Oryctolagus cuniculus: one gene and its partners. The protein of the gene in region 1 interacts with the protein of each later gene in a pairwise test. Links are inferred from orthologs where the notes say so. Each region holds a gene or a part of one and is shown on either strand. Other genes may lie near its edges. The genes, in order: WWP1, ENTREP1, SMAD3, ATN1 and CPSF6.

Region 1 (3,465 bases):
TAGAAAGATAACAATTTGTCATAGGTTATATATAAAAGATGTAAAAGAACAGAAAATTACTATTATCTGGACTTAAGATTGTGTCTACAGTGAAGCATAGTTTAAAATAAAGGGGAGGGGCCGGCGCTGCGGCTCAATAGGCTAATCCTCCGCCTGTGGCGCTGGCACACCGGGTTCTAGATCCGGTCCGGGTGCCGGATTCTGTCCCGGTTGCTCCTCTTCCAGGCCAGCTCTCTGCTGTGCCCCGGGAGTGCAGTGGAGGATGGCCCAGGTCCTTGGGCCCTCACCCACATGGGAGACCAGGAGAAGAACCTGGCTCCTGGCTTCGGATCAGCACGGTGCGCTGGCCGCAGTGGCCATTGGGGAATGAACCAACGGAAAAAGGAAGACCTCTCTATCTCTCTCTCTTACTGTCTACTCTGTCAAAAAAAAAATAAATTAATTTAAAAAAAGGGGGAGGGCAATAATATCTTTACCGTTTTTTAAGATACAAACAATATTTATGTTCTGAGAGCAGCACTGTTTTAACTGGCTGCCTTGTTTCAAAAAGCTTTTAATTTTCATCTTTCGTGACTCCTACATGAGCCGAGGCAAGGGCAGATGAGCAGTAGAGTGGTAGGAGGTCACCTGGATAATTCATAGAGGAAAAGCTCCACATGAGCGAGTTACTGTATAGACAGGTTCCAGCCTGAGAAGCTGTTTCACTGGTCACAGAGAGGGAACCAAAACACAGACATTGAATCATACTGCTGACCAGTATTGTATCCTAGGAAATTAAATGTTACTCTGACTTTGTAAATTGAAAAACAATACATTATGATTTTAAGCATTTTCAGTATTTTTATATTTTTCGTCAGTTAGTCCCAGAAGTCTGACAATACTGAAAAGGTGTCATTTTAGATGTTATACATATGGTGAGGAGATTATTTGAAGAGACATAGAAAAGTATGTATTTGTTCACTGTCTCCACCCCAGAACCTGAGGTCCACGAGGACAAGGCTTTGAGTTTTTCATCCCCATCTCATCAGCTTCTGGCACAGTATACAGCATGGAAAAGATTCTCAGTAAATACTGAACTGATGAATGAATGAGTGAATGAAAGAAATGTACTCTTAACCCAAGAGAATTGAGTAGGGAGCACATACATGTGGCAGTCAGGAATACTACAGAAAAATGATTTAAAAAATTCTTTGGTGCTTCAGTTACTATTTGTAATTTATTTTCTATGGGAAATGTTAAAATATTATTTATGTATAGGTCTTAAATAGCTTGCTCTTGGAAATGCTGATATATAGTAATAATGTGCTTAAAAATACTGTATTAGAAATGTCTCATAGCTTATTTTATTGAAAACATCTGATTTTGTTTTTGTTTTTGTTCAGTTTTAATCGCTTGGATCTACCACCATATAAGAGTTATGAACAACTAAAGGAAAAACTCCTTTTTGCAATAGAAGAAACAGAGGGATTTGGACAAGAATGAATGTGGCTTCTTGTTTTGGAGGAGCTCTTGCATTTAAATACCCCAACCAAGAAAATTGCACAGATAGTATATATAAGCTGTTCATTCTGTACAGGAGTTTTCTGAACCTTTCAAAAGTATAAATGTTTTCCGTTCTTCCACAGAAATATGCAAAACCATTCATCTTTTTCTACTTTATTTATTGTTCCCTTGAAATGACTGACCAGGAAAAAGATCACCCTTAAATTTTGAAACAAGCAAGAGACTTTATTAAAAAATAAGAAGTATATATCTCTATTAAGCATATATGATAGTGGCTCTAGTTTTATAGAGCTCCAAGTGTATTAAACATCACAGCTGTTCTTCACAAAGATCTGGATTTGCTTTACCTTTATTATCCAGGGGAAAAAGTGCAAACTGCTCCATGTTCTTCATGTAACAACTCCTGAGGGCATTTAGCTGCATGGCTGTTCAGGAAGGTATTAAGGGCTTAAGCCAAATCTTACTTTGAGTATATTTAAAAATGCTGCTGGCTTTTCTGAAGACAGGTGCTTAAACCTGTCAGTTTGTTTTAAATAAATAGAATAGTTGAAAATTTTTCCCTCTTTGCTACATTAGTAATACAGTGAAAGTATGAATGGAGACCATACTTACATGAAAGTTCTATTAGATCCAATACCACTTAGTTTATTATAGAGATTGGTAAAAATTCATTCAGCAGACTAGAGGTTTGTTTACATGTTACTTTGGGATATTAGGTATTTGTGAATTAAAAAATCAGGCACTTCTGTACTTTTCTTTTTAAATCTGTGACATCCTTCAAATTTTATTCACAATAAATTGATGCAGTTTGATACATAGGAACATATAAAAGGTAATGTGAACTTTGCCACTTTTGTGTTCAAAATTCCAGTTTTATAAAAGCAGATGAATTGAAAAGTTACACAAGCATTTGAAACACAAATAGAAGACTAAGGATTTTCTATTACTGTTTGAATATCTTCATTCCTTTCAAATTCATGAAAATTCTATGTATCTGAATTAAACAAGCATATTAAAAACCTTCTGGGTCCTCTTTCCCCCCTTTTACAATTATTTTTGTTCTAAGTAAATAACACTTGTTTTTCATTATAAGGGCATTTGCTGAACTACAAAGATGTATAACAAAATCTGATGTGAATGATATTAATGCTACTTTTAGCAAACTGGACTTCTTAATTAATACAAAAATTTCAATTTCCATTTGTATCATGCTTTCAATATGCACTGTAAACTTCTTTAACTTAAACTTTTTTTTATAACCATTGAACTGACTTAGGAATGTGTTACCTGTAAATAATTCACTGCTAAGTGCATACAGAAAATACTAGTATACAGTTAACTTCCGTACAGTTTTTGCTTTCCAAAAATTTTATTTTTCTACATAATAATTTAGATTGTGTTCTGCATTTTATTCAAAATTCACAGTAAAGGTAAAATAAAGTCAGTGATCCACTTGATTGAATAGATTCCTTTCCCAAATCCTAACTCCAGACATTCTGGTTATTTTCAAGTCTTACAGAATTTTTAAAAAGAATTCTAATGTATATGACAGGTTACACAATAGAAAGTGATTAACCTTCAAAAGGAGTGCTTAAACTGTACCACTAAAGTTAGACATTAGACACACAGGTGGCGTAGCGCTGTAGAGCATTCACTGTGACAGAAGTTCCCGAGTACCACCACTCAGTGGAGCTATACCAGAGTATCAGATTTACGTGGTTTTCTGGGTAATTACCCCCCTCAACATTTCAAGTAAGAAACTACCTTGTACCACGAACTTACAGGGAGACCAAACCAGTTTTTTGGGAAGACTAGTTAAGAGAAGTCAGGAGAGCTTTCATAGTCAATGATAGACATCCAGAGGTACATGATTTGTCTGTTCTGCAGTAGAAAAAAATGAAGAAATGTGGCCCCACCTTTTCTCATCTCTTCCCATCCCTGTTCTGTCCTGAAAGAACCACT
Region 2 (3,515 bases), on another chromosome or scaffold:
AAGCACTTGGGCCATCCTCCACTGCACTCCCAGGCCACAGCAGAGAGCTGGACTGAAAGAGGAGCAACTGGGACTAGAACCTGGTGCTCATATGGGGTGCCAGTGCCACAGGTGGAGGATTAACCTAGTGAGCCATGGCACCGGCCCCGTGGCCCATTGCCTTTTGTAGAACACTGACCACACTGAGACCTGGGCCCCACCACAGGCAGTGAGAGATGGTTCCTAGAGGGGAGGCCCAGGCCAATCTTGGGATTAGAACCTCCCAGAGGGGTTGGACTCCATGGCTAGGGTTGGGAGTGACAGGGGATCAGAGCAAAAGCCAGCAACTCACCAGTAAAATGAGAAGTTGCTTAATGGGAAAGACTCTCCTTGGTTGATGCTGAAGCAGCCTTGCTCACAGTGAGGCTCTTCTGGTCCTGGGGATGGCCACTGTGACGTCATTCCTTCTGCAGCCAGGTTGGAAAAAGCACCCCGTTTCCCCTGGAAGAGATTCTGCGATGGTTTAGGATCTGACATGGGACCTGTTCTTCCAAGCCTGTGGCCTTCAGCAAGGCCCAGGTCACCCCAGCTCGGGTGTAAGCTGGCAGGGTTATCCCACAGTCAGGCAGGCAGCGCTGGGGGTTTCACTCTCTAGCTAAGGCCCACAGCGGGGAAGCAATGCCTGTGTTGTTTGCTGAGGCTTGTTAAGTTTTGGAAGGCTGGTTCATGGGGGTTATGCTAATTAAAGGCTGCAGCCGGGCCCTTTGGAGGGGACAGAAGGAGCCCCTAGGTCGCTTTGGTTGAAACAAACTTTGTCAGTCATTGGTGAGCAGTCTCCAGTTAGGGCCAGAAGAGTGGCTTCTTGGAATCGCTCATGGCCTTGGTTGGAGGAAACCCATGGGCAAGTCCTGCTCTCAGAGTTGCTGTGGTTTGATGGGGTTTGTCCCTTCTAAACTCATGTTGCAGCCTGTGTGCTCTGGTGGTGCTGTGTGGAGGTGGGGCCTCTGGGGTGTGTGGGTCATTGGGAGGGGCCCCTGCCTTTCTTTTGGGGCTGGGTTCATCTGGCAGGCCTCGATCAGGTCCCCTGGAGAGCGCATTGTTACAGTGTGACACTGCCCCTGGTGCTGTGTCCTCCACATGTGGCCCCTCACTCTGCAGCCATTGTCACTCTTGCCAGATGCCACCATGATGCCCTTGAACTGCCAGCCTCCAGAACTGTGAGCCCAAATCACCTTCACTTCTTCGTAGATCCCTTGGTCCCAGGCATTCTGCTAAAGCAACAGAAGATGGACCAAGGTAGAGGAACAGATGTCTTTCAGGCTGTTCTTGCCAGGAGCCCCGCCCCATGACTGCCACTTCTCCTTGGATGGGAGGCTGCACTTGCTAGGTGTATGTTGTTGACCCAGAACCTTCTCCCTTCCCTTTCGGGTCAGGCAGGGAATGTGTGTGGTTCATGACCAGAGGAACGTACAGGAAAAGGGGGCAGAGCTTTCCTGCGTTTTCCTTCAGACTGCACAAGTCTCATTTTTTTTAAATCCCAGAATTCCAGAACTTTGTTGTTAGGAAGAAAGACCATCACAACTTTTTCAACTTTTTGCCTCCACCCATCAGACTTCAAATGAGCACAAAGAAGGAAATGAAGTGATCATAAATTCAGTCACCTGCATGCATCTGACCCCCAGAATCCGGCTTTTTATCAGGCTCTTTGAGTTTTTCCCTTTTTTGTATCTCAAGAACAGATGTTATACTTTTGCTATTATCTTATTTTTTTTTTCATTCTCTAATGCTCCATAGCCAGAATGAAGGTTTTCTGGATTTTTGTGTGTATTTTTTTGCAGTAATTATTTTAAATTTCATGTTTTTCATTATCTAGTTTCTTATTTTGTGGAATTATCCATGAACATTGGCAGGAAATCTTCCAGATTTAAAAAAAAATTTGCTTGAGGGTCTGTCACACATAGGACAACAAACAAACAAAAAACTCCCTCAAAAAACAACCCTTTCCCCCAGAAAATTATCTAAGAAGCAGTCAGGGGTCGTGGTGGAGGCAGTTTGGAAGTCTAAACGTCAGTAATTTGTAGATGATGAAGAATTGGTAAATATAGCAAATGTAAACAGTGAGCGATAAAGAATCCTCATGTATTCCCAGGCCCAGAATGGGAGAAGGAGAGGGGATGAGAGAGAAGAGGGGAGGAGGAGGCTGTGGGGAGAAACTCACTGACCCTAGAGAACAGCGGCTGCGGTTCTGGTTAAGGTAGCAGGGTATGGAGTGGGCTTCTCCCTGAGGTTCAGCTTCTCTGCACCCACATAGTTTGTTTCAGCTGTGAGACCTCTTCCCCTTGTTCATTCCACTCTTGGGTGTGCTTCTCCCTCTGTTGGTGGTGGTGGGGTTCCTGTTACAAATGAGTGCCAGCCTATTGGCCACCTGGGCTGGGTTCAGGAGCCAGCAGAGTACAGACCTGTGCTTCCCACCGCAGCCCCTGGCTTGCCCCTGCCCGCAGCCCTGTGGGTGAGAGCGCCCCCTGTCCACGGGGCGGGCCTGGCGGGCAGCTCCTGGGGGAGCTCCGTGGCTGCGCCTGCTGTCCCCGCCCCGGCTCCGAGCTGGGACGTGGTTCACTTCTTGCTTTATGTTAACTCACCTTTCAGGTATTTCTTTGGCAAACGGTGAGTCTGCCGTGTAAGGGACGAGAAACTGCTCAGGTACTACTGTAAGAAGCTGTCCTCGGTGTTGAGCAATTCACGTAATAGGAAATTAACCCCTTTGCAGTGTGGAATTCAGTGGCAGCACCATGCCTCCAACACCTCCATCTCATTCGTTTCCTCACTTCCAAGGAGACCCCTACCCAGTGGCAGTCACGCCCCTTCCTGCCCTCCCCAAGCCCCAGGGAGCCCCTGGTCCCTTTTCTGTCCCGTGGATTGGCGTTTGTGGAGGCGGAGGGAGGGGTGGGGCGGACCAGGTGGCTGAGGTGGGGACCGGGGAGCGCCCCTCGTCCTAAGGGGCCGATGGCCGCCCGCACAGTGGGCTTCCTCACGGCGGCGCCATGCTGTTCCTAGGATGGCCGCCTCTGACATCATCCCCGTGCCGCACATCTATGGAGCACGAATCAAAGGCGTGGAGGTGTTCTGTCCCCTGGACCCGCCGCCCCCATACGAAGCGGTGGTGAGCCAGATGGACCGGGAGCAGGTACGGCGCTGCGCAGCCCTCACGCAGCACCCCGGGGGCCTCACGGGGCTCTGCTGCGGGTAAGCTGACGGCAGCACAGTAACCTTCTTCTGTCCCGCTGTTCAGGGACCCGCATTCCGGATTCCAGAAGGGACAGAGACTGCTACAAGCCCGCTGGAAGTGGTCTGTGCCCAAGTGACTCAAGGTAATCCCGCGTCATCACTGTCCCACGTCATGATCCAGTAGATTAAAGCACAGCAAAATAATAACCAGTTTGCTATTTTCTTAGAGGTCGGAAATTCTTGGAGTAAGGCTGGCGTTGTGGCATAGCAGGTTAAGTTGCCCCCTGCGATGTTGGCATCCCACCCATATG
Region 3 (4,002 bases), on another chromosome or scaffold:
AGAGGCTTGTAAGCCCAGGCTGGCGTTGGGTTCAGGGATTCTCCTTCCAGGTTTTAGCAGGGAGGGAGCTATAGCAGGAGAGGAGGGCGAGGAGCACCTGGCTGTGCGGAGGCTACGGGGCGGGCTAGGCCAGGGCCCCTGCAGCTTCTGGGCTGACTTTGTGGATTCGGCCACACCTCACAGGGCTTTGTAACTTCCCACCACTTGAGGGTTTGCAGATAACTTCTTTCTCACCACTGGGGGTTTCCTGCTGTTAAAAACAAACAAAGGCCTTACCCACCAGGGTGGCCTCACAGGGGAGGCCCCTGCAAAGGCAGGCGCTGGGGTAACTCCAGACAGCCCCGAGGAAGGGCTCCTGGATTCTGCGGGTGGGGAGGAAAGCTAGGAGCCCGCCCCCTCCCCCGGTGTGTGTGTGTGTGGGGGGGCGCTGAGTGCCTCAGCTCCCGGAGAACTCAGCACTTTAGTGCGGGGGTTTCAGATTTCGGATCTAGCTGTCTCTGAGTGTGCAACACCCGGTAATGTGACTTTCACCCAGAGACACATTCTAACGCGCCCCCGTTCATTCCTTCACGAACTCAACAGATGTCTTTTGAGGCCCTTTTGCTGCCAAGTACTTGGTTCACAAGGCTCAAGGGAACCCCCCCCCTCAGCTATTGTGCGCGCTGTCACCCGAGTCCTCGCAAACGCCATTTCCCAGGGCCCAGTGTCCCCTCTCTCAGCTCCCGCTCCGCAGTCTCGGTGTGACCTCACAAGCCCCTGGGTCGCGGGCGCCTGCCAAGACCCCTGCCCAGGATCGGCACACACGAGACTAAGTGCGCGCCCCGACCCCCTCGGCCTCGAGTCGGAGTCCGCTCAAGGTCCGACGGCGCCTCCTCGCCCCCGTCCTGCCCGCGACTCCAACCGAGCTCGGGCCCCCGCCTGGGGCCCCTCCGCCCGCCCGTTTCCCGGGACTTCCTCCCCCGCGCACGCTCGGCTGCGGGCCGCGGCCGCGCGGGGTACGGCGCGCTCCAGCCGGGCCCGTCGCCGCCCCCGGTCGCCCACGTGGGCGCGCTCGGCGCGGGGCGGGGGAAGGCCGGGCGGCCTCGGCGGAGCAGGGGCGGGCAGGGCGCCCGGGGGAGGAGGCGGGGAGCCCGGGCGGCGAGGGGGCGGTGACAGCGCTAGGCCGGGAGGCTGCACGCGGATTTGCATGAAACATAGACTGGGAGCGGGCGGGAGCGGGAGCGCCGCGCACGCCCCGGGCCGGCCCCGCGAGCGAACGAGCGCGCCGGGAGGAGGAGGAGGAGGGAAGCGGGGAGGCGAGGCCGCAGAGGCGGAGGGATCTGCGCATCAAAGCGAGCGAGGCGAGCAAAGTTTGGCTGGGGGCTGGACTTTCCTTCCCGGAGGCGGCACCCAAACAGCTACCCCGTGCGGAAACCCAAACTTTGTGCTGCCACTCCGAGCCTCGCGGCCGCTGCCTCCGCCCCACGCTCGGGGCCTTCCCGACCCAGCGCCGCCGCCCGCCCGCCCGCTCGCCCGCCGGCCGCCCTTCTCCGCCCCGTGGGAGCCGTTCGCTCGCGCGCAGGGCCGCGCGCCGAGCCCCGCAGGCTGCAGCGCCGCGGCCCGGCCCTGCGCACGGGGCAAGTTCGCCCGGAGTTGAGGCGAAGTTTGGGGCGGCCGCGGCCGGCCCGAGCCGAGCTCCCTTCTTGCGCCCCCGGCGCCCCGCCGCGCCCAGCCCCGCCGGGGGCGCCCCCTCGCCGCCCGCGCGCCCTCCCCAGCCATGTCGTCCATCCTGCCCTTCACCCCGCCGATCGTGAAGCGCCTGCTGGGCTGGAAGAAGGGCGAGCAGAACGGGCAGGAGGAGAAGTGGTGTGAGAAGGCGGTCAAGAGCCTGGTTAAGAAGCTCAAGAAGACGGGGCAGCTGGACGAGCTGGAGAAGGCCATCACCACGCAGAACGTCAACACCAAGTGCATCACCATCCCCAGGTGGGGGCCCGGGGTTGCGCCGGCCCAGCCCCCTTGGCGCGGCGCGGGTGGAGAGCCGGGACCCGCGGGCGTGCGCGGGGCAGCGGGAGCCTGGCCGGGGGGTGGGGGAGGGAGACCCCAAACAAAACCTCCTTCTGGGAGCGCGAGGCTTCCACGCGGCACTCTGGCTTCCAGACCGCACCTTCGCTTTCCACCTCCGGGATGGGGGTGCGGCGGGTTTGGGGCGGGGGCGGGCGCTGGTGGTGGTGGTGGTGTTGCTGGGATCGGCCGCCCCCAGCCCGGGGAGCTACCGAGTCCAAGTTGAGGCCCGCTTTGTTCGGCTCCGCGGGCGGGAGCCCCTCCCCCGCCGCCGCCGCCTCCCGCCCCCGCGGCCCGCGCTCGCGGAGGTGTAGCTGCCATTCTCCGCGGCGGCCGGGTCCCCTCGCGTCTTTCCGCCTCTGCAGGAATGCAGTCGGTACAGCTGGGGCGGTGGGTGCGGAGCCCTAGCCGCGTGATGGACAGATGCCTTCTTCGCTCTTTCTTTGCCTTTGGGATTAGCATTTGTATCGAGTATTTTTAGACTGGGTTGTGCCAGCCTCCCGCCCCGCTGTGCGCGCACGCCCTGGAGTTGCTGCGCAGGGCTCTGACTTCTTCGAAACGGGAGGTGCGAGTGGCAAGGCCACGGGGTCTTCTCCGTGAGCCCGCCGCCCTGCCCGCACCTTTGCCCTCCATTGTGGTCTGAGACGCTGCAGATCGGTGCAGAACGGAGAGGGGGGCTGGAGCCGCGCAGACACAGCCGCCCCGGAGTGGGCCTCGCGTCCGCCTTCGCATTCCTGTGGAGCCCTCACTCTCAAAGCGCTTTGCCATCTGTCGGGACCGCCTTTATCCTTGCCCGGCGCGAGCCGAGGCTGGCGGGCGCTCACAGATGGCTGATGGAAGGGTCAGTGACTTCTGACACCCCGGGGCCTTCCAGCGCTCAGCCGCGCCTGCTTGGAGATCGGGGTGGGAAGATGGGGGGGGGGGGGGAGGGCTTGGCCCTGCGTCTCTGCTTCTCAGCCCTATTTGGAGTCCGGTTCTGACCCAAGTGGGGCGGGCGCGGGTGGTGGGGACGCCGCAGCCTGGGGGGTCCCGGGCTGCAGAGGAATGAGGAATGGCCCCGCAGGGACTGTCAGCCTCGCTTCTGGGCACGGGTGGACTCCTCTGTCCTTGGCCACCTGCTTGGGGCAGCTGTGCAAGGGCTGCCAGCTGTGTGAGGCAGGCACAAAGCAACATCTGTCCGCAGGAACGCAGGGCAGGCCTCCCCTGCAAATAAATGCTGGGCATGGTGGCAGGGCTGACTTAAGAAGTAGTGAGTTGTGCTTTTTTTTTTTCTTTCCCCTAAAATGGGTGGATCCAGTCAAGAGAGGCGGTGTGCTTTGTGGGGAAGGCACTGTGGGCCGGGGGTCGGGAGCCAGAGTGGACTTCAGAGGAGGTGGTGTAATGGGATGGGCAGAGAAACTTGGGTTTTGGGCCCGCCTCTGGTTTTTAATTCTTTTTTATCCCTTTGGTGGGGGCCCCACCGGTAGAATGGGGGTCTTGGGGGGGTGCTTCTCTCCTGCTCCATGTTTGCCTGGGTGGGTGGAGGACACACAGGCTTAATTTATTCGTGGAAATGGGCAGTGGGGTGGGGGTGGGATGGGTTATAAAACAGGCAGCTGTGCAAAGTGTTCTACAGTTTACAAAGCACTTTCACGTGGTTTTACGAGGTCCTCGAAGAAAGAGACCCATGCCTGGAAAACAGATAAGGCAGCCGGGCTGGAGATGATCTCATTTTCCAAGCGGAGAACACTGGAGCAGGGAGGTGGGCAGGCTTGATCCAGGGGCTGCGCCTTCTGCCGCCCTGTGCTGCTGAGCACTTGGAAGGCTGAGGCTCGCTCGGCCCAAGGCTCGGCCCAAGGCTGGAGCTGTGTCAGCTGGGGTGGGCGGTGGGAGGTTGGCTTCCACCTGTAGGCCTTGTTTGCCTGTCTCTTGGTAGGAGTTTGCTTTGCGCGGGGCAGGACAAGGGCCTGCCTTTAAGAGTCC
Region 4 (3,515 bases), on another chromosome or scaffold:
AGCACGTCCAGCAGTGACGGCAAAGCCGAGAAGTCCAGGCAGACAGCCAAGGTATCTGTGCTCAGGTCCTCCCGCAGCATGCTGGGGGCGGGTGTTGTGGGGGACTTCCTGTCTGGCAGAGCAGGCCCAGTGGAGGCTTGGGAGGCGGAAGACAGAGTTTTCTCTTTCCCTCTCACAGAAGGCCCGAGTAGAGGAAGCCTCCACCCCAAAGGTCAACAAGCAGGGCCGGAGTGAAGAGATCTCAGAGAGTGAAAGTGAGGAGACCAATGCACCAAAAAAGACCAAAACTGAGGTGGGGGACCCTTCTGACCTCTGGCCTGCTTTCTGACCATTCTTCTTCTTCTTCTTTTTTTTTTTTTTTTTTTAAGATTTATTTATTTGAAAGACAGGATTACAGAGAGACGAGAGAGCTTCCACAGGTGCTGGTGTTGCAGGTGGCAGCTTAACCCGTTCCACTGGCCCCTGTTTTGTGACCATTCTTTTCCTCAAGTTTCTTTAGCTCACCATTCCTACCTTAAAGCCTCCTGGGAAATAAGAACAGCCATCTCTTCGTGCCTACCAGCGTGGTCCTGTGAGCTGTCAGGCAGATGTAGGGCTTTGACTGCTAGAGGAGCAGGCAGGGCCTCTGGGGGACTGTAGCCTCTGAGTGAGAGGAACACGTAAGCCAAGGGAAACACAGAAGTGGTCCTGTAAGAAGCACCAAGGGTCTGGGGATGATGACAGGAGAGGAGGGTGGGTGTGAGATGGTGTAGGACAGGGATTCCGAGTCAGTCGTGGGTGGGGAGGGTGCGTGGGGTAGACACTGGAAGAGGGAGTCGGGTTGTACAAGGAGGGAAACAGGTGGCCTGTTAGGGGCGCCTGAGGATGCCAGGAGAGTGAGGATTCTCCTTTGACCAGGAACACTCTTCACAAGTCGGTGCGTCATGTGCTGTGAGAGGCCCCGCTGTTGGGAGACAGGAACTGAAAAAAGAGGCAAAAATGGCTTTCCCTACAGCAGGAGCTCCCGCGGCCACAGTCTCCCTCGGATCTGGACAGCCTGGACGGGCGGAGCCTCAATGACGACGGCAGCAGTGACCCTCGGGATATCGACCAGGACAACCGAAGCACGTCCCCCAGCATCTACAGCCCTGGCAGTGTGGAGAATGACTCCGACTCGTCTTCTGGCCTGTCCCAGGGGCCAGCACGCCCCTACCACCCGCCTCCACTCTTTCCTCCTTCCCCTGCACCACCAGACAGCACCCCCCGGCAGCCAGAGCCTGGCTTTGAACCCCATCCTGTGACACCCACTGGATACCATGCTCCCATGGAGCCCCCCACATCTCGAATGTTCCAGGCTCCTCCTGGGGCTCCTCCCCCTCACCCACAGCTCTACTCTGGGGGTGCTGCTGGAGGGGTTTTGTCCGGACCTCCAATGGGTCCCAAAGGGGGAGGGACTGCCTCTTCAGTTGGAGCCCCTGGTGGGGGAAAGCAGCACCCTCCACCCACTACCCCCATTTCAATATCAAGCTCTGGGGCCAGTGGTGCTCCCCCAACAAAGCCACCTACCACTCCCTTGGGTAGTGGGAATCTGCCCGCTGCTCCACCACCCGCCACTTTCCCCCACGTGACACCAAACCTGCCTCCCCCACCTGCCCTGCGGCCTCTCAACAATGCATCAGCTTCTCCTCCTGGCCTGGGGGCCCAGCCGCTACCTGGGCATCTGCCCTCCCCCCACGCCATGGGCCAGAATATGGGTGGACTTCCTCCTGGCCCAGAGAAGGGCCCGGCCCTGGCGCCCTCGCCCCACCCTCTGCCCCCTGCATCCTCCTCCTCCGCCCCAGCCCCCCCAATGAGGTACTCTTACTCATCCTCTTCCAGCAGCTCTGTGGCAGTCTCCTCCAGTTCCAACTCTGCCCCCCAGTACCCAGCCTCCCAGGCACTGCCCAGTTATCCCCACTCCTTCCCCCCTCCCACAAGCCTCTCTGTTTCCAATCAGCCACCCAAGTACACTCAGCCTTCTCTCCCATCCCAGGCCGTGTGGAGCCAGGGACCTCCTCCCCCTCCCCCATATGGCCGCCTTTTAGCCAACAGCAATGCCCATCCTGGCCCCTTCGCGCCTTCCTCTGGGGGCCAGTCCACTGCCCACCCACCAGCCCCAGCCCATCACCACCACCACCAGCAGCAGCAGCAGCAGCAGCAGCAGCAGCAGCAGCAGCAACAACATCACCACGGCAGCTCCGGGCCGCCTCCCCCGGGCGCATACCCCCATCCTCTGGAGAGCAGCAGCTCCCACCACGCCCACCCTTACACCATGTCTCCCTCTCTGGGTTCTCTGAGGCCCTATCCCCCAGGGCCGGCACACCTGCCCCCACCCCACAACCAGGTGTCCTACAGCCAAGCAGGCCCCAACGGCCCCCCAGCCTCTTCCTCTTCCAACTCCTCTTCCTCTTCTCAAGGTTCCTACCCCTGTTCACATCCATCCCCTTCACAGGGGCCCCAGGGCGCGCCCTACCCCTTCCCACCGGGGCCCCCGGTCACCACCTCTGCTACCCTCTCCACGGTGATCGCCACCGTGGCCTCCTCGCCAGCAGGCTACAAAACGGCCTCCCCGCCTGGGCCGCCACCGTACGGAAAGAGAGCCCCGTCCCCAGGGGCCTACAAGACGGCCACCCCGCCCGGATACAAGCCGGGGTCGCCGCCCTCCTTCCGAACAGGGACCCCTCCGGGCTACCGAGGCGCCTCACCGCCTGCCGGCCCGGGGACCTTCAAGCCAGGCTCACCTACGGTGGGGCCCGGGCCCCTGCCACCTGCGGGGCCCTCAAACCTGTCATCTCTGCCGCCGCCACCTGCGGCCCCTAACTCAGGGCCCACCCTGAACGCCGCGCAAATCAAACAGGAGCCGGCGGAGGAGTATGAGTCCCCCGAGAGCCCGGCGCCCCCGGCCCGCAGCCCCTCGCCCCCTCCCAAGGTGGTAGACATGCCCAGCCATGCCAGTCAGTCTGCCAGGTGAGCGGGCGTCCGGGGCGGGGTGCAGGTGGGGTTGGGATGGGGGACAGAGCAGGGAGACGTGGTAGGGGCCTGGCGGTCTCGCGGTGCTCTGTAAAAGGACACCGTAAACGGCCCTTGAGGGCAGCAGCTCGCTCGCGCGGGCTCAGCTGCGCTACCTCCCGCGCCTGGCAGGTTCAACAAACACCTGGACCGCGGCTTCAACTCGTGCGCGCGCAGCGACTTATACTTCGTGCCGCTGGAGGGCTCCAAGCTGGCCAAGAAGCGGGCCGACCTGGTGGAGAAGGTGCGGCGCGAGGCCGAGCAGCGCGCGCGCGAAGAAAAGGAGCGAGAGCGGGAGCGTGAGCGTGAGAAAGAGCGCGAGCGCGAGAAGGAGCGCGAGCTCGAGCGCAGCGTGGTGAGTGCGTCACGAGGTGCGCCGCCCGCCCCCTATCCCTCCCTCCTGGTCACTGCGCAGCGGGTCTGGGAGGCTGGGGGAGTTACCGCCACCTGTCGGAGAGGAGGAGCCACTACAGTCCAGGAAGTGAATC
Region 5 (3,515 bases), on another chromosome or scaffold:
CAAGGCATCTGAAAGTTAATATATAGCGTAAATGGACTTTGAGGTAGAATTGTTTCTAGTAGCAGTGGTTACATTTCAAAAAGCTGTTCTAATAAGTGCTATTTATGAGTATTTGGATATTTGCAGCTACACAATCAGGACAAATGTCTGGGGAAGGTAAAGCTGGTCCTCCAGGAGGCAGTTCACGTGCAGCATTTCCACAAGGTGGTAGAGGACGGGGCCGTTTTCCAGGGGCTGTTCCCGGTGGGGACAGATTTCCTGGGCCAGCAGGACCAGGAGGGCCACCCCCTCCTTTTCCAGGTAAAATTTTACTTAAATTACCATGGATAAAACATGTCTACCTAATACCTCTTTTCCTTTTCTCTCTTTTTCAAGTAATGCATTATTAATGTGACTTACTCTCCTTGTTATGCTATTTTTGGAATCCAGGAAATTTGATCAAGCATCTTGTTAAAGGAACTCGGCCTTTGTTCCTGGAAACTAGGATTCCATGGCATATGGGGCACAGCATAGAGGAAATACCCATTTTTGGCCTAAAAGGTCTTTATTTTTCTCCAAACTTGCTTGACTTATATATAGAATATTTACATCAGTCTTATTTTCTTACCTCTTAAAAATCCTTTCAAGACCATTTTTCCTCGTTTCACTTTCTAGCTTGGCATCAGAGTAGAATATAAGGTGGGTGATTTCACTGTAAGAAGTGTGTGTACACTGAAAGATGGAAAATATTTCTAAGCACTGTAATCTTTTTTAGTAAAGTTTTTGTTTCAATAATTTTTGCTAAGCATAAATTGAGCTAGTTAAATTTGTAAGGATATCCTTCACCTTTGTAGTTGTTAGCGTAGCATTTACCTTATGGGTTTTGTATAAAGAGAATTTTGGTCTGTGAGTTATGCTTTAAAAGTATAATAATCTTGGCATATAAATGTTAAAAGTATCTTTGTTATTAAAATATTTTCTCTCTCTCTCTCTCTCGTTTATTCTATAGCTGGACAGACTCCGCCACGTCCACCCTTGGGTCCTCCAGGCCCACCTGGCCCACCAGGTCCTCCACCTCCTGGTCAGGTTCTGCCACCTCCTCTAGCTGGGCCTCCTAATCGAGGAGATCGCCCTCCACCACCAGTTCTCTTTCCTGGACAACCTTTTGGGCAGCCTCCACTGGGTCCACTTCCTCCTGGCCCTCCACCTCCAGTTCCAGGCTACGGCCCCCCTCCTGGTCCACCACCTCCACAACAGGGACCACCTCCACCACCAGGCCCTTTTCCACCTCGCCCACCTGGTCCACTTGGGCCACCCCTTACACTCGCTCCTCCTCCGCATCTTCCGGGACCACCACCAGGTGCCCCGCCGCCAGCTCCACATGTGAACCCGGCTTTCTTTCCTCCGCCAACTAACAGTGGCATGCCTACATCCGATAGCCGAGGTCCACCACCTACAGACCCATATGGCCGACCGCCACCATATGATAGGGGTGACTATGGCCCTCCAGGAAGGTACGTTAATTTGCAGCAATCAGAGTGTTTCATTGGTAAAAGATGGTTGTTTTGTAGGAAAATAACATGGAAATGTAGCTAACATCAAAAACAGCTAGTGTAAAGTGCTTTACACTGTTAAGTCTAACTTAGAAAATCTGTTGGGTTTGACTTAAAGTTTCTTTCTGTTTTAAAGGGAAATGGATACTGCAAGAACACCATTGAGTGAAGCTGAATTTGAAGAAATCATGAATAGGAACAGGGCAATCTCAAGCAGTGCTATTTCAAGAGCTGTGTCTGATGCCAGTGCTGGTTTGTATATTTTTTCCTATATTCATAATTTTTACTTATGTGAAATGATCTAAACTTAAAAGCAGTCCGAAAGATATGTCATTTACGTTTAATAGTTCTTTTTGTATTCTCAAATTGTTATAAAGTATTGGAGAAAGCAGTACTCACAGTATAGCAGAAAGACCCCACAATTGTAAGTTATCAAGTGTTGATTTAAGTATTGGCCTTGACATTTAATGGTTTCAGAGACCTTCAGACAGCTTATTCAGTCTCCTGTTTACAAAATGATAAACTGTTTGACACAGCTTCGGTGATACCAGATTTTGTTAATTTGATCAATTTTAGCTTTTGCAAGTTTTGAAACCAAAAAGACACTGTTTTCTGTGATTGTTTTGAGGTGCACTACTTGAGTAAAATACTTTGCCACTCTTATCCCTACGTGGCTTGGCAGTGTTTCCCAACAAAAGTTACTGTTTTTAAGGTTTATTTATTCATTTGGTTGAAAACCAGAATACTCAAGTGCCTGCAACAGCCAGTGTTGGACTAGGCTGAAGCCAGGGGGCCAGAACTCCACTGGGTTCTCCTATGTGGGTAGCAGGGATCCAAGCAACTATTACGTTCCCAAGCACATTAGTAGGAAGCTGGATTAACAGTGGAGCCTCTGAGACATTAACTTGCATTCTAATGTGGATGTGGGTACTCCTAGTAGTGGCTTAACTTGCTGAGCCACACCAGCCCTCCCCAAAATTTGCTTGACTTCAATGCCTTTCTTTTCCTCTACAGGTGATTATGGGAGTGCTATTGAGACTTTGGTAACTGCAATTTCTTTAATTAAACAATCCAAAGTATCTGCCGATGATCGTTGCAAAGTTCTTATTAGTTCTTTGCAAGATTGCCTTCATGGAATTGAGTCCAAGTCCTATGGTTCTGGATCAAGGTAAAACTTTCCTGTCTCCTGTCTGTTGAAACCTGCTAGTTTACAAAAGGAAAAAATACTGTGTTTGGGACTTTAAAACAAAAGTTTGATGTACTTACTGTTTACTTAGCAGCTGGAATGATTTTTTTAAACTCTTAAGTCAGATGTTAGGTGTTTGCTTAAAACCCGTCAAAGGCTTCCACTTAGGCTTACTTCTTGTACTTCTCCCCATACTCACTCTAGCCATATTGATCTGTCTTTTCCTCTGGGCACATGAAGCATTTGACCATCTTACTGATTTTGTACTTGGTATTCCTTCTCCTGGGAACCCTTTTCCCTGGCTCTTCACATTCCCTGGCTCCTTATCCTTCTCCTTGTCTCAGTCTAACTTCTTAAGAGGGTCTTCTCCCAGGTTAGTCTGTCATATCCTTCTCTTACTTGCCGTAACCTATTCTTATTTGTTACTTGTATTTCATCTCATTAGAACATACTGAATGATAGCAGGGATTTGATCTAACCTACCTGCTACAGTTCTGTATTTCTAATGCTTAAACTTTGCCTGGTACAGTGTGGTGCTGAGTGAGTGAGTGAGTGAATGAATGAATGAATGTAGTTCCTTGCTTTCAGAATTCCTGCCAACTGCCCTGGAAAGGTGTCTTTTTAATCCTCACATAATCTCCCTTTAGTATGTTATCTGGTAGTAGAGTCATCTTTATTATTAAGGGAAAGGAGTTTGTCTTTGGCAGTTCCAACTTTATAATTACTGCCTTTTGACTTAGCTTATCTTTTTATCTGAACCAGTTGGTCAGAACTAACAGCATATTAAATACCATCAT

What was found.
Region 2: the proteins of WWP1 (region 1) and ENTREP1 interact in binary tests that used the Homo sapiens proteins (3 or more experiments, as listed by UniProt). The link is inferred for Oryctolagus cuniculus from reciprocal best matches to the Homo sapiens genes WWP1 and ENTREP1.
Region 3: the proteins of WWP1 (region 1) and SMAD3 interact in binary tests that used the Homo sapiens proteins (3 or more experiments, as listed by UniProt). The two-hybrid records come from large-scale screens. The link is inferred for Oryctolagus cuniculus from reciprocal best matches to the Homo sapiens genes WWP1 and SMAD3.
Region 4: the proteins of WWP1 (region 1) and ATN1 interact in a two-hybrid assay, tested with the Homo sapiens proteins (2 studies listed by BioGRID and IntAct). The link is inferred for Oryctolagus cuniculus from reciprocal best matches to the Homo sapiens genes WWP1 and ATN1.
Region 5: the proteins of WWP1 (region 1) and CPSF6 interact in binary tests that used the Homo sapiens proteins (3 or more experiments, as listed by UniProt). The link is inferred for Oryctolagus cuniculus from reciprocal best matches to the Homo sapiens genes WWP1 and CPSF6.

What each region holds. Positions count from the first base shown.
Region 1 is NC_091437.1:111,755,992-111,759,456, forward strand, and holds the end of WWP1 (NEDD4-like E3 ubiquitin-protein ligase WWP1), read left to right. Parts: intron 1-1,382; coding exon 1,383-1,482; 3' UTR 1,483-2,960; downstream 2,961-3,465. UniProt on the Homo sapiens protein: E3 ubiquitin-protein ligase which accepts ubiquitin from an E2 ubiquitin-conjugating enzyme in the form of a thioester and then directly transfers the ubiquitin to targeted substrates.
Region 2 is NC_091432.1:161,049,361-161,052,875, reverse strand, and holds part of ENTREP1 (endosomal transmembrane epsin interactor 1), read left to right. Parts: intron 1-3,033; coding exon 3,034-3,163; intron 3,164-3,268; coding exon 3,269-3,347; intron 3,348-3,515. UniProt on the Homo sapiens protein: Functions as an activator of the E3 ubiquitin protein ligase ITCH in the ubiquitination of the CXCL12-activated CXCR4 receptor. Thereby, triggers CXCR4 endocytosis and desensitization, negatively regulating the CXCL12/CXCR4 signaling pathway.
Region 3 is NC_091443.1:89,858,184-89,862,185, forward strand, and holds the start of SMAD3 (mothers against decapentaplegic homolog 3), read left to right. Parts: upstream 1-1,200; 5' UTR 1,201-1,756; coding exon 1,757-1,962; intron 1,963-2,333; exon of another isoform or gene 2,334-2,416; intron 2,417-2,476; exon of another isoform or gene 2,477-2,873; coding exon of another isoform or gene 2,874-2,881; intron 2,882-4,002. UniProt on the Homo sapiens protein: Receptor-regulated SMAD (R-SMAD) that is an intracellular signal transducer and transcriptional modulator activated by TGF-beta (transforming growth factor) and activin type 1 receptor kinases.
Region 4 is NC_091440.1:102,606,727-102,610,241, reverse strand, and holds part of ATN1 (atrophin-1), read left to right. Parts: coding exon 1-51; intron 52-178; coding exon 179-292; intron 293-994; coding exon 995-2,985; intron 2,986-3,159; coding exon 3,160-3,382; intron 3,383-3,515. UniProt on the Homo sapiens protein: Transcriptional corepressor. Recruits NR2E1 to repress transcription. Promotes vascular smooth cell (VSMC) migration and orientation. Corepressor of MTG8 transcriptional repression.
Region 5 is NC_091442.1:71,574,061-71,577,575, forward strand, and holds part of CPSF6 (cleavage and polyadenylation specificity factor subunit 6), read left to right. Parts: intron 1-126; coding exon 127-300; intron 301-429; coding exon 430-540; intron 541-988; coding exon 989-1,493; intron 1,494-1,668; coding exon 1,669-1,784; intron 1,785-2,546; coding exon 2,547-2,700; intron 2,701-3,515. UniProt on the Homo sapiens protein: Component of the cleavage factor Im (CFIm) complex that functions as an activator of the pre-mRNA 3'-end cleavage and polyadenylation processing required for the maturation of pre-mRNA into functional mRNAs.